Macaca mulatta: one gene and its partners. The protein of the gene in region 1 purifies or fractionates together with the protein of each later gene. This does not show direct contact. Links are inferred from orthologs where the notes say so. Each region holds a gene or a part of one and is shown in the gene's direction. Other genes may lie near its edges.

Evidence for each region. The genes of interacting proteins can lie anywhere in the genome.
Region 2: the proteins of VAPA (region 1) and VPS13C purify together in Homo sapiens (co-immunoprecipitation; 3 studies listed by BioGRID and IntAct, counting the BioPlex papers as one, with this or other methods). This does not show direct contact. The link is inferred for Macaca mulatta from reciprocal best matches to the Homo sapiens genes VAPA and VPS13C.
Region 3: the proteins of VAPA (region 1) and OSBPL10 purify together in Homo sapiens (co-immunoprecipitation; 4 studies listed by BioGRID and IntAct, counting the BioPlex papers as one, with this or other methods). This does not show direct contact. The link is inferred for Macaca mulatta from reciprocal best matches to the Homo sapiens genes VAPA and OSBPL10.
Region 4: the proteins of VAPA (region 1) and ZFPL1 purify together in Homo sapiens (co-immunoprecipitation; 3 studies listed by BioGRID and IntAct, counting the BioPlex papers as one, with this or other methods). This does not show direct contact. The link is inferred for Macaca mulatta from reciprocal best matches to the Homo sapiens genes VAPA and ZFPL1.
Region 5: the proteins of VAPA (region 1) and RMDN3 purify together in Homo sapiens (co-immunoprecipitation; 4 studies listed by BioGRID and IntAct, counting the BioPlex papers as one, with this or other methods). This does not show direct contact. The link is inferred for Macaca mulatta from reciprocal best matches to the Homo sapiens genes VAPA and RMDN3.

The regions. Positions count from the first base shown.
Region 1 is NC_133423.1:80,896,823-80,900,322, forward strand, and holds part of VAPA (vesicle-associated membrane protein-associated protein A), read left to right. Parts: intron 1-901; coding exon 902-1,005; intron 1,006-2,057; coding exon 2,058-2,138; intron 2,139-3,500. UniProt on the Homo sapiens protein: Endoplasmic reticulum (ER)-anchored protein that mediates the formation of contact sites between the ER and endosomes via interaction with FFAT motif-containing proteins such as STARD3 or WDR44.
Region 2 is NC_133412.1:39,395,390-39,399,433, reverse strand, and holds the start of VPS13C (intermembrane lipid transfer protein VPS13C), read left to right. Parts: upstream 1-1,244; 5' UTR 1,245-1,318; coding exon 1,319-1,418; intron 1,419-4,044. UniProt on the Homo sapiens protein: Mediates the transfer of lipids between membranes at organelle contact sites. Necessary for proper mitochondrial function and maintenance of mitochondrial transmembrane potential.
Region 3 is NC_133407.1:16,528,540-16,532,638, forward strand, and holds the start of OSBPL10 (oxysterol-binding protein-related protein 10), read left to right. Parts: upstream 1-1,299; 5' UTR 1,300-1,516; coding exon of another isoform or gene 1,517-1,745; coding exon 1,746-2,026; intron 2,027-4,099. Other genes in the region: uncharacterized protein LOC114676224, read right to left, coding at 1,023-1,299, 1,517-1,747. UniProt on the Homo sapiens protein: Probable lipid transporter involved in lipid countertransport between the endoplasmic reticulum and the plasma membrane.
Region 4 is NC_133419.1:9,300,638-9,304,659, reverse strand, and holds the start of ZFPL1 (zinc finger protein-like 1), read left to right. Parts: upstream 1-1,222; 5' UTR 1,223-1,379; intron 1,380-1,407; exon of another isoform or gene 1,408-1,517; intron 1,518-1,677; 5' UTR 1,678-1,698; coding exon 1,699-1,800; intron 1,801-2,110; coding exon 2,111-2,222; coding exon of another isoform or gene 2,223-2,310; intron 2,311-3,402; coding exon 3,403-3,596; intron 3,597-3,704; coding exon 3,705-3,777; intron 3,778-3,912; coding exon 3,913-4,022. Other genes in the region: CDCA5 (sororin), read right to left, coding at 368-403, 489-554, 633-727, 936-981. UniProt on the Homo sapiens protein: Required for cis-Golgi integrity and efficient ER to Golgi transport. Involved in the maintenance of the integrity of the cis-Golgi, possibly via its interaction with GOLGA2/GM130.
Region 5 is NC_133412.1:18,096,514-18,100,463, reverse strand, and holds the start of RMDN3 (regulator of microtubule dynamics protein 3), read left to right. Parts: upstream 1-1,150; 5' UTR 1,151-1,160; exon of another isoform or gene 1,161-1,325; coding exon of another isoform or gene 1,326-1,357; intron 1,358-1,565; coding exon of another isoform or gene 1,566-1,572; coding exon 1,573-1,759; intron 1,760-3,950.

The DNA.
Region 1 (3,500 bases):
ATGTTATTGAGACTGTAGAATATATTTTAGAAATCAAGAGGCTATATGGTTTCCTTGTGTACTTTTGTTTTCTTAGAAGATTGAAATAAATTCATAAACTGAAATAGATGTTTATTTAAAATACATTTTTGAAAAATTAATTATATTAATATATGGGCTGGGCACTGCGGCTAACGCATTTATTCCTAGCACTTTGGGAGGCTGAGGAAGGCGGATCTCTTGAGCCCAGGAATTTGATACCAGCCTGGGCAAAATGGCGAAAACCCTTTCTCTACAAAATGAGCCCAGGGAGGTTGAGGCTACAGTGAGCAGAGATGGCGCCACTGCACTGCAGCCTCACGACAGAGTAAGACTCAGTTTTAAAAAGCAAAAAATAGATGGTAGTGAGGTTTTAAGTTACTATTTCTCCTTTAAATATGCCAGCTATATAATTTTAAATCAGAAAACACTAAAATGAAGCCTAAATTCATAACGAGTTTTAATAACTTAGTAGATTTTATCTGAACTTATAGGCATTATAGTTAACACTGGCAAAGTTTTGAAAATTTTCACAAGCTGAGTTTAGAAAGGGCAAAATCATAGATTCATATTTAATTTTTAATTGCAATTGTTTATTTTGTTGGTTGTGGAAAACTTAGTAAATTAGAAAGGCAGACAATTTGAAAATACTTGGGATCCATTAAGTTGATTCTGGATTCTTAAACATTCTGGTGTTTGGTTTCTTGAACCCTTCTTGGTTTTCTTTAAATTTGCATATTTGTGAAGTAATGGGAATGATACTATGGCCAGATACTGTTTAAGGCAAATCCCGGACTTGGTATAATTTAATCTGTAACTGTTTCAATGTATGTCTTTCAAACATGCAGGAGACAATATAATATATCCTTTTTTTCTTATTTAGTAATGCTACAGCCCTTTGACTATGATCCGAATGAAAAGAGTAAACACAAGTTTATGGTACAGACAATTTTTGCTCCACCAAACACTTCAGATATGGAAGCTGTGGTAAGTACAGAAGAAGAATTTATTTTGGGGAGTGGAGTTTAAACTGTGGGTTTTGTTCAGCAGTCAGTAGAAAAACTTAATTTCTAAAAACTAAAAGTTAAATTTAGATTTTTAAAAAAGTGCCAATATCTTCATTGTAGATAATCCTAACTTACAGAATGAAAGAATTTTTTTTTTTTTTTTCTTTTTTTGAGACGAAGTCTCGCTCTGTCACCCAGGCTGGAGTGCAGTGGCGCAATCTCGGCTCACTGCAAGCTCCGCCTCCCGGGTTCACGCCATTCTCCTGCCTCAGCCTCCCGAGTAGCTGGGACTACAGGCGCCCGCCACTGTGCCCGGCTAATTTTTTCTATTTTTAGTAGAGACGGGGTTTCACCATCGTCTCGATCTCCTGACCTTGTGATCCGCCCGCCTTGGCCTCCCAAAGTGCTGGGATTACAGGCGTGAGCCACCGCGCCCGGCCAAGAATTTTTAAATAGTATTTTTTTTTTTTTTTAGAAACAATTTAGAAATGCTGCTACTGGCCTAGTGCAGTGGCTCACACCTGTAATCCCAGCCCTTTGGGAGGCTAAGATGGGAGTATCTCAAGCCCAGGAGTTCAAGACCAGCCCAGGCGACATGACAAGACCCTGTCTCTACGATTAAAAAAAAAAAAAAAACAAAACCCAACAAGTAAAAAAACCAACAGATGCCTGTAGTCCCAGCTACCCAGGAGGCTTGCTTGAGCCCAGGAGTGGCCACTGCACTCCAGCCTAGGAGACAGAATGAGACCAACTGGAAAAAGAGAAAAAAGAAAGAAATGCTGCTCTTAAGAAGAAAGTCCTGTGGTTGCTAGTGATATCATCGTGATTTTAATGGATGGTGATAGTAACTCTAGGATTATATATTCTGTGACATTAGCCAGTAACAATGGCAGGGTGATCAGTGAAGAGGGCACCAGTGTATTTCAGCCAAGCCAGGCAGCTACACTCATCTTTTAGCTGTCCCATGAGGTCACACTTACTTACCATGATCATACCTCCTATGTCTCATTTTTGGTTTTGTTTATTTTTTAGTGGAAAGAGGCAAAACCTGATGAATTAATGGATTCCAAATTGAGATGTGTATTTGAAATGCCTAATGAAAATGACAAATTGGTAAGTAGGAAAATGTAAAAAAAAATTGAAGCTGTTGAGCGCTCAGTTCCTTTGATTAATTTTGCTTCTATTTTTGACCTTTGAGGTATGTGTGTTATGGCTCTTTCATGTCATAAGACTCAGTGGTTAAGTTTTAAAAAACTTGGTATACTTTTTTTTTTTTAAAAAATAACATTTTGTTTATCCAAGAAGAAAGAAAGACTCACTTTTAGGTCTAGACTACATCCTGGAGAAGAATCCTTTAAGTATAGCAGATTTTTGTGGCGTAAACCACTACAGGTTCTTTTTTAGAATGAGACATGTATACATAATTTAAAAATACATATAAATTGCTTTTTGGCCATTATGTACCAGCAGTTTGGGGATAAAAAATTCACTTACATGGACAGTTTATTCCAGGTTTAGCTATTCCCAGGTATTTTGCTCACTTTTGTTTTTAGTCAAATCCATCTGATTGCATTCTTTAGTAAATAATTGTTATGCTGCTTACTCATTAGTGTAGGTCAAATACAATTTGGGGGACTGAGGGATATATGTGTTTATTTAAAAACAAACAAATAGTAGTCGGTGAATGTACAGAGTGGATTATAGTCACTTACCTTGTCCTTTTCCCTGTCTGGGTTGCAAATTTGAATCTTTCCCTATGGTAAGAGAGACTTGAAAGATAAGTTTTTCTGTGTGTGTATGTGACTTAATACATACAATAATATGGATAAATAGAATTGTTTGGCACGATTTGGTTACAGTCTGACATGACTACTGCCTTAATCTGGTGGCAATTTGCTCTATTGAAAAGTAAACATGCAGATTAAATACGTGGGCTCAGTTACTGTGTTTCTCTTTCAGGATAAGCAGAAATGAAAAGGTCTCTGGCAATTAGGTGTTGACCAAATTAGTTTTTGAATTTTTAAAATACCTCTTTTAAGTGATTTTTGAGGTATTTGCCAAAAGCAAAAAAATGTGAACACGTATATTCTCTGTAAAGTGAGTGTTAGATGGTCTGTGTATGCTTCCCATTTAGAGGTTTTCTTTTTTGGCTTAGGCTGAGGGAAGCTAATAGCTTGCACAGCTCTTACTGTTGAAATCAAGAAAACAAAACAGCGTATTGTCTGGATTGACTTTTTAAAAAAACATTTGGATATTTTCTCACTTAGAGTTTTATGTCATTTTTTACAGTAATTCAGTCAGCATAAATCTGTCTTCTATCTGGGCTTCTGCTGTGCTCTGGATAGCACACACTTTGAGGTGTGTGAAAAGGATTGAGACCGCAGGTATTTGATACTGCTGATTAAGAGTAGCTCTCACTGGTTTGGAAACCAAACCATTACTGATACAGTAATGACAGTTGAACCCAGCGATTTA
Region 2 (4,044 bases), on another chromosome or scaffold:
GCGTCTTTCTTTGTACCTTAAATTTTATTTAATACACAACACCAATTGTAGCCATTTTGATTTTCTTTCTTCTCCAGTGGACCTTCAACTTAAGATTTTTCTTTGTGATCCTGTGCAAGCCTAGGTTGTTAAAGAAAAATACACGAGTATTTTCTCAGACACTTCCTCGTCGCAAAACACTTAATAAATGCTTGTGACTACAAATAGTCAGCATTTCTTAGGTTTCTTTCTGTTTACTGCATCTCAACAACTTCTGGAAGTATATTTTAGGAAAAAATGTCCAGTTCTCTAAAGAGGTGTCAATGGGTGGTTAAATTTCACAAGGGTTGAAAGACCTTGTGGTATAAAAGCTCTGCTTTTAAGGTCGTGCTACATCAAAGACAGTTCAACGATAGCATGGAAGAAAGTGACACATAAATAACAAGTAACTCATACTTAAAAAGGCACTACTACGTTTTGTTTTTTATTTCTGTAATGAGATAGGTAACTAGTCAGTGGCTAGTGAATTAAAAGCGAATCTTAGAGAAAGAGAAAAGAATGAGTTTCCCACAAAACGCGTATATTCAGTTCTCATTCTATGATATCTGCCATTTGATGTGGTTCTGTTCCCTTCCTCCCACTTTTAAATTATTTGTCGCGCGCCAGTGGTCCCAGCTACTCAGGAGGCTGAGACAGGAGGATCCCTTGAGTTCAGGATGTCAAGTCTGTAGTGAGCTATGATTCCGCCACTGCATTCCACCCTTGGCAACAGAGCGAGACCCTGTCTCGAAAAAACAAAACAAAAAACCTGTGTGTTTTCAAGAAGCAGAGACCAAGCCCCAGGCGGAGTCGAACTCTAGGAGGACAAGAACGCAGTCGGTCCTTTTCCTCCACCTGATCCAGAGGTGCAAGGGTGGTTGCCTAGGTGACGCTCAGCGCACACTCCCGGCCCGGCGGCTCCGGACAGAGCCGGGAGGCGGGAAAGCAGAGCGGCCACATAGATGACCCTGTGCTTGGTAACTCTTGCCCTCCCTTGTTCATCTCGAAGGTCCTTTTTCTCTCGTGCACGGCTGCCGAGACAGGCTCAAGCTAACTTCCCCTGCGCGCCTCCTTCGGCACCCAGAAGGCCGGGGCTGCGAAGCCCACAAGGCCTCGGGATCACCACAGGGCCTCCGCAGCTACCGGCCGGGCGACGGCGCGCCTGCGCACAGGCGGGGTCACGCGCGCGGCGCGGGGGTGGGCCGGCGCCGGAGGGGCTGTCATTCGTAGCGCTGGTCGCCGCCCTTAGCTGCGGCCGGGTGGTTCCGGCTCCTCCCTCCCAAGCTGCCTCAGCCCCACCATGGTGCTGGAGTCGGTGGTCGCGGACTTGCTGAACCGCTTCCTGGGGGACTATGTGGAGAACCTGAACAAGTCCCAGCTGAAGCTGGGCATCTGGGGCGGTAAGCGAGAGGGGCGCGGCCGGCGGGCTGCGGGCGCTGAGGGCCCAGCCGAGGGCTGCTCCGTCCGGGATCCTGCCCGGGCCCTGCTCCCTCCGCCGCCCGAGACTCCCCCTTCCCGGTGCGGCAGGTGCTCTACGTGGGAGCCTCTGCCGCCCGCGGATTCTCGGGGTCCCAGTCCCGACCCCGGCTGGGGAGATGCGGTGGGATCCCGCCGGCGCTGCCAAAGTTCCCACCTTTCTAGTCCTCCGAGGCCAAGCCCTGGCCCTGCTGTGCCTGCCCTGCGCCTGCTGTCCCCGCCCTGCCCGTCTCTGTGGTCCTCTCGCTGCACTCAGCGTGGCCCGTTTGGCCCTACAGCATAAAGACAGCCCTTTCTGTTTCGGTAGCGCGTGGAGTGAGCATGGTTGTCTGGTCATATACGCTCGAAGTGGTACTAAGGAAAAAGAAGAAGGAAATTGCATTTCGCAGTTATCTTCACTATCATTTTACAGGGAGCAGGAACCGGGTGCCTTCTCTTTAGGATTACCGGGTTTGGAGAGGAATAGGCAGATCTTTAAGAAAGGCGTGTGCTTAGGGATTCTTACTCACAATGCTTTCAGCTCCTGTGAAAATTATTCCTTCCTTTAATATTTACTTTTCCGTCAATACGAAGAGGATTTTGAATTTTGTTTTGGAGCAATAGAGAGAAATTCAAGCCTCGACCAGCATCGTCATTAATTAGGTGCCTGCTTGGTTGTATGCCCAGGAATTTATGCCAAAGTTTTTATCCTGGAGATTAAGTGTATATAAGTATTCAATAAATAGTGTACTTAAACATGCACTCTTCAACAAGCTTAATCGTTTGCATGAATTATGTGTTAAGCTTTGAGGACTTTGGGACTTTCTCACTCCACAAAAGATGTGGGAAGTTTGTCAGCTTTGGAGGAAGATTCAAAAAACGACTCAAACGTATGGATCTGCTTTTAATTCAAGCAGCAACAAAGAGCTATAGACTTCCCCTGTCCACTAGGGTAACCACTAGCCACTGTAGCTGTTGAGCACGTGATATGAGGTTAGTGCTAATTGAAACGTGCTGTTAGCATGAATTAAAACATCGTTTTGAATAAGTATTACTCCTAAAGAAGTAGGAGAAAAAATATAATACCTCTAATTTTTATGTTGCTTATGTGTTGAAATAATATTTGAATATATTGAGTTAAATTAAATATAATATTAAAATGTATTTCCTGTGTTTTTTAGTTTTACTTTTTTTCTTTTTAAACCTGGCTTCTAAAATTTATAATTACATATATGGAACATATAGTGGGCATTGCTGTTTATAGAACCGTGAGTGATACCCTGAATTGCGGAAGAGCCTGGTTTTTTTTTTTTTTGGTTGTCTTTTTGAGACAGGGTCTTGCTCTGTTGCCAAGGCTGGAGTGCAGTGGCAAGATCATAGCTCACTGCAGCCTGCAACTCCTGGGCTCAAGTGATTCTCCTGCCTCAGCCTCCCGAAGTGCTAGGATTACAAGTGTGACCTGTAGTGCCTGGCCAAGAGCCTGTTTTTAATAGGTGGCTGATCATTTGATTGGTTCACTGTGGTTTGCCCAACAATACAATAGTCCCTTGGTATCTATGGGGGATTGGTTTCAGTACCCCTGACCATACCAAAATCGGAGGTTGCTCAAGTCTCTTAAATAAAATGGCCTAGTATTTGTATGTACCCTATGCACATCCTTCTGTATACTTTAGGTCATCTCTGGATTACTTATAATACCCAATACAAGTAAATGCTATGTACATAGTTGTTCTGTTGTTTTTTAATTTGCATTATTTTTATTGCCAAATTGATATTTTTAATTTTTTTCCCAAATATTTTTGATCTGCAGTTGGTCTGTAGTTGGTTCAATCCGTGAATATAGAGGGCCTACTGTACATACTTTGTTTACATCCCCCCACCACACTCAATGCAATGTAAAAGAAAGGGAAGTAAAGAAAGAGATTTAAGGAATTAAATGACCAGCACCTTCTGCAGAAATGAAGTGTTTCTTCAGAATACTGGCAATATCATTTCCAGTAATTCCTTATAGTTTGTAAACATTTGAAATTCGAAAATGCACTGGAGTAGCAAATCTGAAATCTGAATAGGCCTAGTGAATGGTGTGCTGTGTTGGACAAGCCACTTACCTTATTGGGCCTTAGTTTCTTCATCTTAATTTAAACTTTTATAGAAAAAATATTTTAAATTCTGAAAAGTTTAAATATAATAATATTTTAAATATATTTTAAATAATATTTTAAATAAAAGTTTAAATAATATATTTTCATGTAATTACTCATATTTTAATATTATATTATGGCATATTTACTTTAGACATTTTCTTTTTCAGAAGATAAAATGTATGGATATAGTCAAAGGTTCCTTTGCCATCAAATGTTATTCTCCTTTATCTTTAAAATTGGAGGTTGGAGTAGGTAACATCTCTAAGGTGATGCCAATATCCTGTTCTTCTAATAATGGTTTTACAATGACATTGAGGAGTATACTGCATGAAGATTTTGAAGTTTTTCACAACTGAAATTAAAAATGTTGTAATTTTATATTATTTCCTCTTTTGTCTTTTTTTTTGGTGAAATCTAGAAAAGGAGA
Region 3 (4,099 bases), on another chromosome or scaffold:
CCATGGCCAAGCCTGAGGTCCACGTGGAGGAAGGATACTCCTTCCATAGGAAGCGCCAGCAAATATTTTGAACAAATGAACATTCTTGCCTAGTTTATCACAGCCAGTATCATTTGTCCCATTTTGCAAGTGAGAAGACTAAGGCTAAAAAAGGTAATTTAATCAAAGTCATAGGTTAGAATTCAGCTTGAATGGCTTCAAAGTTGGTCCAGGCAATCTCTTTTTCAGATTTTTTTTTTTTCTTTAAACACTATGTAGGCGCCTGGAATTGTAATTTACTCAGGGACACAACCACTTGCCTTCGGCTCCAGAAACAACTCCGTGAAAATCTCTAGAGCTAAACCACCCATGAAATCTTCCTGGAAGGATGTGAAGCTACAAAGGGGTCAGGCTGGGGGAACTGTTCCTTTAAGAGCTGAGTCTTCCATTTAGTAATTTTTTAAAACTGTTGAAGTATTTATCTGCTTGATGGGTTTGTAGATCCTTTGGACGGAGATCACCTATCATCATCACCTTTTGTTTTGTGTGTGTGTGTGTGTGTGTGTGTGTGTGTGAGAGAGAGAGAGAGAGAGACAGTCCGAGTTCCTCAAAGATTTTTTCTAGGTAATTTTTGATACTTCAGATTGTAATGGGTATCTATATTCACAAAAATTATTAGTGCGGTAGAAAGATATCTTCAGGTAGGAAGAGGGGCGCAGAAGTTACAGCCAACACAGAGAATCCTTCAATGTTTGTAAATATCTGTTAATTTCCCTTGCCTCCGGAGCAGTTTTCCCGGTTTCAGAGCCTCTGTTACCAGGTGCACGTGCAGTGTGATAACAATGGATAAGTTTTGACTTGCCAGGTTTATGCGTGTCATTCAGGGCAGGGGATCAGGGTTAGGCCAGTGAGTGACCTAGGACACTCAATTTAAGGAGGCACTCGCACAAACCTGAGAGTTCGCGCGCCTCACCCCAGCCCAGTCCTGTGTCTGTTAAGCATTTATCATAATCCTGCTTTATGAAAATGCGCGGCGAGCTTACCTGTGAGGATCACCTGCCACTCCCCTCCTCCGCCAGACAACGCGGAGGGCCTCCCTGCCCTGTGATTTTGCTCCGCCGGTGACAATTTCCAGGTTACTGTGTAGGAGCGTCTGGCGCAGGATCGTGTGCGGAAGACCGAGGGAGGGAGTGCGCGTGTGAGCCTGTCAGGCCGGGCGGGTCCATATCCGGGTGGACCGGGTGGGTGGGGCTGCCCCTCCCTCCACGTCCCGAGGTGGATAGGGGGTGGGGAGTGACGCGCAGAGATTCCCTTTCGCCCCTTCGGATCCAAGAGAGGGTGGTAGAAGGAATGCGTGGGTGACTCGGCGTGGATTTAGGGCGTGCCCACCTTGCAGATCGGCCTCCTAGAGTGTCCCCAGGGCCTAAGAGGCCGCAGGGACACGAAGGAAGAGAAGGAAGAACCCGAAGAGGGCTCGCTTAGCCGGCCACCCGCTCCGAACTTGCCCGGGAAACTAGTGCGGAGGGAGGGGCCGGGCCCTGGCCGCGGCGGGAGGAGGGGCGGCCGCAGCTGCATCCAGCCCCGTTGGCTTCCTTCCCAGCTCTCCTTCGCCGCCTCCTCCTCTTCCTCCTGTATGAGTCAGGCATTTCCCGGGGATTTGGAGCAGCCACGCGCGGCCCGGGCGCCCGGAGCTGTAGCAGCAGCAGCAGCAGCCGTGCCGGGGCCGCCACAGCGGCGGGCACCCGCGTCCCGGGCGCGCACGGACCATGGAGAGGGCAACCCAGGGCACAGACGGCGGCGGGGGTAGCAACAGCAGCAGCCGCAGCAGCAGCCGTGCTACCTCGGCGGGCTCCTCGCCCTCCTGCTCTCTGGCGGGCCGGGGGGTCTCCAGCCGGTCTGCGGCGGCCGGGCTCGGCGGCGGGGGCAGCCGCAGCAGCCCGGGCTCTGTGGCCGCTAGCCCGTCCGGGGGAGGCGGCCGCAGGAGGGAGCCGGCGCTCGAGGGCGTGCTCAGCAAATACACCAACCTCCTCCAGGGCTGGCAGAACAGGTAACCTGCCAGCCGCCCGCGCCACCGCGCGCCGCTGTGTGTGTGTGTGTGTGTGTGCGCGTGTGTGTGTGTGCATGTGTGTGTGTATGTGTGTACGCGCGCGCGCGATTGTGCCTCCAGCGAACCGGGTGATGCCTCCCAACGGTGCCCTTCCTGTGTCCCTGCTCCCCTCCAGGTGGGGTTCTCAGGATGGGGCGCGCCGTGTCTCCACCCCGGGACCGCACCGCAGTGGCAGGGAGGGAGGCGAGAGCCCAGGTTTTCTTCTGTGCTGGCACCTGCAGAGACTGGAGTGGCAGGAGGAGCGTGCTGGTCCCCGTGCTCTGCTTGTCCGTTGTTTCCCGCACCCCTGAGGAATGACTGGGAAAGGGAGGCAGAAGGGGCGTGCTTTGTGCCTGGGTGAAAAAGCGTTAGCAGGTCTGCTGTGATTACAGTAATTCTCTAAATACCATAGTTCATTTTAAAGTTTGGTGTTTCAGAACACCACCACCATCAACAAACATCCTGCCACTTTGACAAGTGTACATACTCCTGCCCCAGTTTGTACCTTGCAACCTCCGATGTCTGTAACGGAAATTTTGTTTGAAAACAGAGGCCAGGCGCGGTGGTTCACGCCTGTAATCTCAGTACTTTGGGAGGCCAAGGCGGGCGGATCACGAAATCAGGAGTTCGAGACCAGCCTGGCCAACATGGTGAAACCCCGTCTCTACTAAAAATACAAAAAATTAGCCGGGCGTGGCGGCGCACGCCTGTAATTCCAGCTACTCAGGAGTCTGAGGCAGGAGAATCGCTTGAACCCGGCATGTGGAGGTTGCAGTGAGCCGAGATGGCGCCGTTGCAATCTAGCGGGGCCGACAGTGCGAGACTCCGACTCAAAAAAAATAAATAAATAAAATAAAAAGAAAGAAAAAATACCCTCGCCCATTTTAATATTAATAGCAATTTACATTATTATCATTATTTCCTCTTCAGGTCCCTTTTGAAGTTTCGTGCTCACTTCCACCGCACAGTTGAGAAGCCTAGTTGTGGACACGTGGAAGGATGGGGCTGTCGAGGAAAGGGGCTCAGGAGGCACTTGGAATGGTGGTAGTGTGTGTGATCTGCCATCGTGAGGAAGACAAGAACAGATGTGGCACTGCTGTTTACTTTTTGTTTTTTTTTTTCAATTTGTTTTTCAAAAGCAAGCCAGAGGGAAATACAAGTGTCAGTGCGAGGAGAGCAATGCTTTTTGGAGAGGTGGTTGGCGGGGTATTTTGTCCTGCCTATTTAATAGTCTCCAGATCTTAATAGACTTGGGGCTCTTAAGGATGTTTGTGAGATTTGAATCATATCCTGGAACGTTGCTTATCTCTGTTGCATGGACGATATTACTTGGTTATCTCTTCCTGTAGATTGTTTGGAAATGTTCAGATTTGCTTCCATCTGAAACGTATCAGCCAGTTATTTGCACGAAACTCAACTTGGAGGAAGAGGACTTTTGAAGTATGGAAACCGAGTCGTTTCTATATTGATACTGTACATATAGGACTTTCTGAGTCACCTGGGCTTCCTGGGAGGTGTGTTACTATGTTAGTGGAAGTTGCACTTAACTTTTGAATCCTTTTATTTCTCAAAATAGTCCTAGTGTCAATTTGTGAAAGCTGGAAAAGAATAGGTAGAATGCGTAGGTACAGGGAGATGTGAGATGACTAAATCTGATTTCAGTTCTTGGTAATTATGTCTTGTTAATGGCAACTCACGGTGCCTTGTCAGTAACAGCATTTTGTTGGTGTGTTGAGCAATCACTTTTATTGCTTTTTCTTCAAGTAGCTTATGAGGCCAACAGAACTTTTACCCTGGATTACAGTTATTTTATTATTTACTTGCTGGGGAACAATATTTTACCTGCAATGTGTATTAAAGGATTTGTTCTTTGGAGTGGATTTAGGAGGCATTGGAGTAACATTCTTTTGCATTATTTTAAACCCATTGTGGTGTTTAGGTTAGAGGCAAGGTTGAGAAGAAGCACATTTAATGCCATTAATAATACCTATGTGATCGCAGGCTACCTAGGTGAAATGTTGTATTATGTACACT
Region 4 (4,022 bases), on another chromosome or scaffold:
AAACATCCTTTGACAATAGCTTGTGCTAAAACTGTAAAAATGTCATACACATGACTTATCTTAGAACACCCATAAATGAAAGCTAAAGGCAAAATGGATTAGAAAGGCAGTATGTGGAGTTAAGACATCGCTCAGTTTTTACATGAAGTTCCAGGAAAATGGTAGAAATACACAAGGCATAAAAAGTTAAGTGTATTAAGTCTTCAGGGAGTACTCAAGACTGGCAATGCATGCAGGTGCCCAAAGGCAAACTGTTTTTGTAGTACTGCAAAACAGCTCCCTGGGCAGATGTGAGCAGCCAATGTGTGCTGTCCACCTCTAGAGTGACCCAGATTCTACTTAATTAAGTAGATGAAAGTGAACTCACCCTAGGGCTCCTGCGAGGTGACTGGACAGCTGGGACCTGCGGGGTACAATACCAATTGATCTCATAGCTGGCCCCCAGTTTCGCCCGCCTACTCACCCACAACACCCTCCTTAGCCTTTACCTCTACAGCATGGGCCACGATCCTCTTTAAAACGATGGGCTTTCTGATTGCAGCCGCACTGGGTGTCTGGAGAAGAGGGATGAACGTGAGCTCAACATTAGGTGAGGGGCCACAAGGGGAGGAAGTGAGAAACCTGGGGCTCACCTTCGGCCAGATTTCAGGGAGGATGCTCGGGAGTTCAGAGCCTGATTTCCGCTGGGACCTCCGCAGAGGCTTAGTAGGAGATGGGGCCCTTGGCCCTGGAAAGAGAAAAAAGTTAAGTGGTAGAGGAGGACTCTAGACCTTAGAGTCCAGAGAACAGGTTCTAGAGACAGCGAGAAAATTCCCAAACAAGCCCTTCTAAGGGCGCCTCCTCTGGAGGCAGCAGCGGGAGGGAAGGGCAATCTTTCACAGGACTGCGTCCCCCAAACGGCTCGACCTCACGTCTCCCGCGCGCCCTCCGCTCACCGGAGCGCTGAGCGGCTCCTCCGGACCGCGTTCGCCTCCCAGACATAACTAAGCTCGGTCTCGAGCTCCTCCAGCGCCGCCGCCCCGGGCGCGCGCCAACGGGGAAGGCCACTCGCTGCAAAAAACTTTCGAATTACCCGCCCTGCGGAGAAGGAAGCGGAAGTGACGTAGGGACAGAGGTCCGCGGCGCCCGGGCCCCCTCTCTTTTCCACCGGTCTTCACGTCTAGCGTCAGCGGAGGCGTGGCCCAGGGGTGCGATGGCGTCATCAGGGCGCGCCGCACCCGGAAGAGACGTGGCAGCGGAGGGATAATCGGGGCGGCCGGGGCTGAAGGGAGCGGAGCAAGATCCTTGGAGAGCGTGGTCCCTGCCCTTCCTCGCCTCGAAGCATCGCTGCCGCCCTTCGGAACTGGTGCAGCGGCCGATCAGTAAACACAGAGACTGGGGTCTGTAGAGAAGGGGCGGGGCTTGGAGGGGGTGGGGCTCAGGGGAGGCCTTGGGGGCGGGGCCGGTGGTATCGGGGAGTCGCTGATGGAGGGGCCTGGCCGGGGGCGGGATCCAGAAGGATTGAGGGGTCGCCGGAGGTGGGATTTATGCAGGGAGTGTTTCCCCGCATAAGGAGGAACAGTGGGCAGAAATCTTGGGTCGGGGCGAATAAGAGAGTGTCTGGGGGAGTTAAGAGTGGAAACTGGGCTGGTGAGAGCGTAGTGGTGGCCACCAGAACCTGGCTTCCTACCAACTCAGGTCCCTTTCCCAGGATCGATCATGGGGCTTTGTAAGTGCCCCAAGAGAAAGGTGACCAACCTGTTCTGCTTCGAACACCGGGTCAACGTCTGCGAGCACTGCCTGGTAGCCAATCACGCCAAGGTGGGGCCTTCAGGGGAGCGACTGAGCAGGGCACTGGGTGGGCAAGGCGGTATTGGCTTCCTCCAAATCAATGAGGGTCCCCGCGCTAGAATGTAAGCCCCACAAGGGCAAGGACTTGGTTTATTTTGTTCACTGATATATCCCCCGCCCCCAAGAGAGAGTCTGGCGCACAGTATGTGCTCAATAAATATTGATTGAACAAACAAAAGGATGAGTCTCCTCTGTGACTAGAGAAAAAGAGACTGTCAGACCTTGGGGTGATAGGCCGAGCAGCCCCAGCACCAGTTGTGACATCTCTCTCCCACTCCAGTGCATCGTCCAGTCCTACCTGCAATGGCTCCAAGATAGCGACTACAACCCCAATTGCCGCCTGTGCAACATACCCCTGGCCAGCCGAGAGACGACCCGCCTTGTCTGCTATGGTGAGGCCTTGGCACCTCGGGGGGATCAGGCCAGCCTCAGGGACCAGCTTGGTGACTGGTTTCCAGGCCCTCCTCAAGCAGCAGGACAGTGAGTCCCCCAAGTCTCAGAACCCAGATTCTAGTCATATTAAAGTTCCTTACCTGCTCTGTAAGTTCAGGCAAGTTATTCTTCCTTTCTAGGCCTCACTGTCTTTCCTAAAAATTAAAGCTCCTAGTTCCTCTTTCCTAAAAATTCAGACCTGCCAATCTGGAGGTTTGAGCGAGAGCCAGTCAAGCTTATGTGTATGCTGGTGGCCGTGACTATCAGCTAGCCAGACCGGCATGTCGCTTTCAGATATTCAGGATCCACCACTGATTCCAAGTCTAAACAGAGAGGAAGTGAGTTTCCCACATTAAAGTTAGCTAAAAGAAGTCAGCAGACATATGTGTCATGACTTTGACCTGAATCTGGAGTAAGAGCCTTAGCTCCAGTTTTTGAAGGAGCTCATGCAAGAGGCAGCTCCATATGTGTTTTTCCTTATGAGTGCGTGTGTGTACTTGCAGGCACTTAATGTACACTGTGTGTTTAAATGAGTGTTAGTGTGTTGATTAGTACTTGGGGGTGAATGAATGGGTAATGTATGTACGTAAACATATGAACACAGGTGTGTTGTGGGAGTACAAGAGAATGCATGGTTGAATGTGCCTGAGTGTTAGCAAACCTGTGAGTGTATAGATGTGTATGTGTGAGGGCTCCTGTGCCCATAGTGTAGATATAGTGAATGCTACTTGTGTTTGATTATGTGCTTATAAAGCATATGTACATGTGTGCCCAGGGATGTGTACATGCATATGTGTGCCTGTGTGTATATCAAGGAACCTTTTCTGAAACTGTTCATTATTAGCCATTAGCCCAAAGAGTATGATGAGTGCAGGCCCAGAGAGGACTCACTGAAAGGAGAGGTGGCGTTTCTTCCCACCCAAACTTACCCCTGTGAGCTGGACAGCTTGGTAGCACTGCCTGGACTTAGATGGTGATAGCCAAGAAGACTGATGTTTTAGGGAACAGGACGGGGAGGAGAAGGCTCTGGCACACACGTGTGTCCATATGTCCTGCAATGGTTTGGGGGCTATTGCTAGGCTAGGAGCCCTAAGTGTCTTCTTCCTCATGTCTCTTCTCCCCTGTCTCATGGGCCCTAAGATCTCTTTCACTGGGCCTGCCTCAATGAACGTGCTGCCCAGCTACCCCGAAACACGGCACCTGCCGGCTACCAGTGCCCCAGCTGCAATGGCCCCATCTTCCCCCCAACCAACCTGGCTGGCCCTGTGGCCTCCGCACTGAGAGAGAAGCTGGCCACGGTCAACTGGGCCCGGGCAGGACTGGGCCTCCCTCTGGTGAGAGTCCCTCTGTCTGTCTGACCATCCATCTGCCCTGGGCCCCACCTGAGCCAGATGGGTGGGGACAGTACTAGGCAGCCTGGTGACCCAGATTCCCTCCTCCAGATCGATGAGGTGGTGAGCCCAGAGCCCGAGCCCCTCAACACGTCTGACTTCTCTGACTGGTCTAGCTTTAATGGTAAGTGGTGGCTTCCACCGACTGTCTGGGCTTTAGCCTCCCTGCTCTGCTGACAGCTCCATTGGTCTACAGTCACATGCTCTACCCCTGAGCTCTACCCACTACTTCTGCTGATGGCTCTCTTTCCGCCCACAGCCAGCAGTACCCCTGGACCAGAGGAGGTAGACAGCGCCTCTGCTGCCCCAGCCTTCTACAGCCAGGCCCCCCGGCCCCCGGCTTCCCCAGGCCGGCCCGAGCAGCACACA
Region 5 (3,950 bases), on another chromosome or scaffold:
TCATGAGGAAGGGGTCTTTGGAAACTGTCGACGGAAATTGCTGTTGACGAACTTGTGGAATGCACGTGAGCTGCAGGTCACTGGGCGTGTGACTGCCCAGCCGGAACTCTGACGCATGTAAGTCTGAGGGTGTGTACAAGGGTGAAGGGAGTCTTTAACAAAAGGCCTGCTACGCCGGGTAACGCTGCCATGTTGGGTCTAGATTCCTGCCTAACAACGGGGTTTCGCCAGGTTGGCCAGGGTGGCCTCGAAATCCTGACTTCCGTTGCCCAGAGTGCTCATGGCTCATTGCAGCCTCCACACCCTGGGCTCAAGTGATCCTCCCATCTCAGCCCCCAGGGCATGTGGGACTACAGTCACATGCCACCACCGCAGGCCTCCTGTATTCTTATATGTATACAGTAACTCACAATTAAAGCGTAAAGAAATATAAGATCTAGTCAAGGGTATTGGGAGAACTGGCCTAGAACTTTCTTCTATCACTAAAGAAAATTTTAACTCTTAAGAAATATTCACAATACAATCGTCATCGTAGTCCATAAAATCGGTCTTTTTAGTTGCCAAAATTAGAAGTTGCATACAATTACAAGAGTAAAATAGAATTATAAAACGGTACGTTAGGTTTAAGGTTTATGGCCGGGTGCGGCGGCTCACGCACTTTGGGAGGCCGAGGCAGGCGGATCGCTGGAGACCAGGAGAGCGGGACCCAGTCTCTACAAAATAAAAATAAAATGTGGGGAGAGGGTGACGTTTTCCAGGTACAGAGGGGAGGTCCGGGCAGAAGCGCAGGGAGAAAGTGTGAATATGCTGAGCGTATTCCGGGAGCAGCAAGTAAGCCGGTGTGACCGGAGGGAAATGGAGGCCTGGATGCCGGACGGTGAGGGTGACTGCGCCAGCGTCCGCCCAAGAAGTCTCCCCGCTTTCCCGCCTTTCCTCAGCCTTCGGACCCTTTTTGCTTTCCTTTTGCGCTGTGCTGACTCCGCCCCTCCGCCGGCGCCCGTGGCCTCGCTCCTGAGGGAAACAGGCCGGGGGTGGGGCCGGCGTGGTCATCTCCGTGCGCCTTCCCTCAGGGCGCCGAGCCGCTGGCGCCGTCTGTCTGACGTCACGGTCACTGACAGCGTGAGCCCGCGGCGGCTGCTGCCATGGTGGCTGGCGGCCGGGTAAGGTTTTGAGTGGGTCTCCTGCCAGGCCAGAGCGCGTTCCTGGGCCGCAGGGGAAGGCCGGGAGTTTGCAGCCAGGGCGGCGGGTTTGTGGTCTGCAGTGTTGTGAGGCTGAGGTGGAGGGTTGAAGGCCCAGAAGCCGTACTCTGTGACCCGGATCGGAGGATGTGCTGGAGGGGTGGCTATGTCCAGGCTGGGTGAGGGGAGCGGCAGTGGGGCCCAGGGGGCTGGAGGAAGCCTTAGGGTTCAGACTGGGATGCAGGTAGTCAGGAGCTCAGGGTTTGGGCAAGGGGGTACCTGCCGGGGTTCTGCCTTGGGGGTGGGTTTACCAGACTCACGAATCTCTCTCTCTCCCTACGCCCGCCCGGCCGCCCGCCTGCTCCCGGTGGCTTCTGCTGGCCGCAGGTGCAGCATGTCTAGACTGGGAGCCCTGGGTGGTGCCCGTGCCGGGCTGGGACTGTTGCTGGGTACCGCCGCCGGCCTTGGATTCCTGTGCCTCCTTTACAGCCAGCGATGGAAACGGACCCAGCGCCATGGCCGCAGCCAGAGCCTGCCCAACTCCCTGGACTATACGCAGACTTCAGAGACCGGACGCCAGGGTAGGAGCCCGTCTCCTGAGACCGCGGTCACTGCAGACTGATGGGCCTGGGGTCTAGGCTGCTTTTGGTGGAGATTGTGGGACAGGGCAACGTAGAGAAGCGCCTTAGGGTTTCACTTTTTTGGAAGCTTGTTGAAAAAGCAGTCGTCGGGCCGGGCGCGGTGGCTCACGCCTGTAATCCCAGCACTTTGGGAGGCCTAAGCGGGCGGATCACCTGAGGTCAGGAGTTCAACACTGGCCTGACCAACATTCAACCAGATGTCAACATGGTGAAACCTTATCTCTACCAAAAATACAAAAATTAGCCGGGCGTGATGGCGCGGCCTGTAGTCCCAGCTACTGGGGAGGCCGAGGCACGAGAATCGCTTGAACCCAATAGGCAGAGGTTGCAGTGAGCTGAGGTTTCACCACTGCACTCCAGCCTGGGCGACAGAGTGGGACTCCGTCTCAAAAAAAAAAAAAAAAAAGGCAGTCATGGTTTTTTCTACTCTTTACCCTGTATTCCCAAGCAAGTATATTTCAAAAAGACTGCTTAGCTGCTTAGCTTTCACTTTTAGTTCTGGCCACACTAGTGCTATGTGGGTGTTAAAGGCACTTGCTTAGTGTTGGGTGAGGTGTGTAATAAGTAGAGAGAATCCAAAAGAGGGCAAAAAGAATAATCTTGTAGGGATTAAAAGTCTTCAGGCTTATGTATTAAATCATATATTTGAATTTGGAGACAACTTGGAAACTATCTCATTCAAGTTTTTTTGTTTGTTTGTTTTGTTTTTTAATCCCTCCTATGAGGAAACCAAGATTCAAAAAGACTGTGTAACTTTCCTGAGGCTGTCACAGATTAAGTGGCAAGGTTGGGCCTGTTGGGCCTGGTCACCTGGTCCAGTGGAGTTTCTAGGGCATAGGGCTAGGAGCACGCTTAATGCAATTGAAGCTGAATGTGGCTGGCAGCCCGCACAGCTGAAATGAGTAGTTCTTTCAAATTTGCAGATTTGTTAATTCATTTGAGCAAAGGATCTAGGGCTGGTTCAAACTACTACCATATTTGTGCAAGAGGAGTGTTTTTTTCTTTTCTTTTCTTTTTTTTTTTTTTTTTTTTTTTTTGAGATGGAGTCTCACTCTGTTGCCCAGGCTGGAGTACAGTGGCATGATCTTGGCTTACTGCAACTTCCACCTCCCTGGGTTCAAGTGATTCTTATGCCTCAGCCTCCCAAGTAGCTGGGATCACAGGTGTGCGCCACCATGCCCAGCTAATTTTTGTATTTTTAGTAAAGATGGGGTTTCCCCATGTTGGCCAGGCTGGTCTCGAACTCCTGGCCTCGGCCTCCTAAAGTGCTGGGATTACAGGCGTGAGCCACCACACCTGGCCAAGAGGAGCGTTTACATTATCTCACTCCCACGCTAATTGGAAGTGAGTGTTTTCTCTGATTGCCAGTGTTAGATGGTTTGGAAAAGTTAGTTCTGGAGGAGTCTTCAAAGAGCTATCACCTTAGATTGCAACTGATTGTCAGCACTTTATAATCTGGTGGTAATCTAGTATTGCAGTGTGCTTCCTTCCCTTGTATTTTGTTTGTTAATTGCTTCGCAGTAGTCTTTCTTCTGAGATTAGAAGTGGCCACATTCCCAGAGATCTTTATTGCTCTACATTCTTGAGCATTATTGGATGTGTGTTGTGGCCTGGCCTAGTTTTTTTTTTTTTTTTTAACCAGATTTCCTTAAAGAAGGGATTTATGCTTGCCATATTGTGGGGTCCTGCCTCTCTGGTTTCCTTTTTGTTTTTGCATTTTTCAGTCCAGTTACCATAGGTGGCTGTCACTTTGCTACCATTTCACTGCTGGAATTTACTCAAAAGAGTGAGGCCTAGGGTTGGGTCAGCAGGGCTTAGTAATGGTGTGTTTCTGAGGCGGTTTGGATGGGCTTTTTCTGGTGTACCTCTTCTCTTAGCAACTGCCCCCTTTCTCCTAGTCCTTCTCTGATACACTAAATGAAGTTCTGGGAGAAACTCCCAAGTTTTCCCTACTATCGTTTGTGAAGTGAGAGATCAGAATGTGATGGAGCTCAGTTTTAGTTTTAGTTTTAGTTTTGCTGTGTGGTTGGTTTTGACTCCCTGGTATTGGGCACTATACGGTGAGGTAAAGGTTTTTTTTTACTCTAGCAGGACAGCTGTCCTCCTTCAGATTCCACACTTGGGCAAGCAT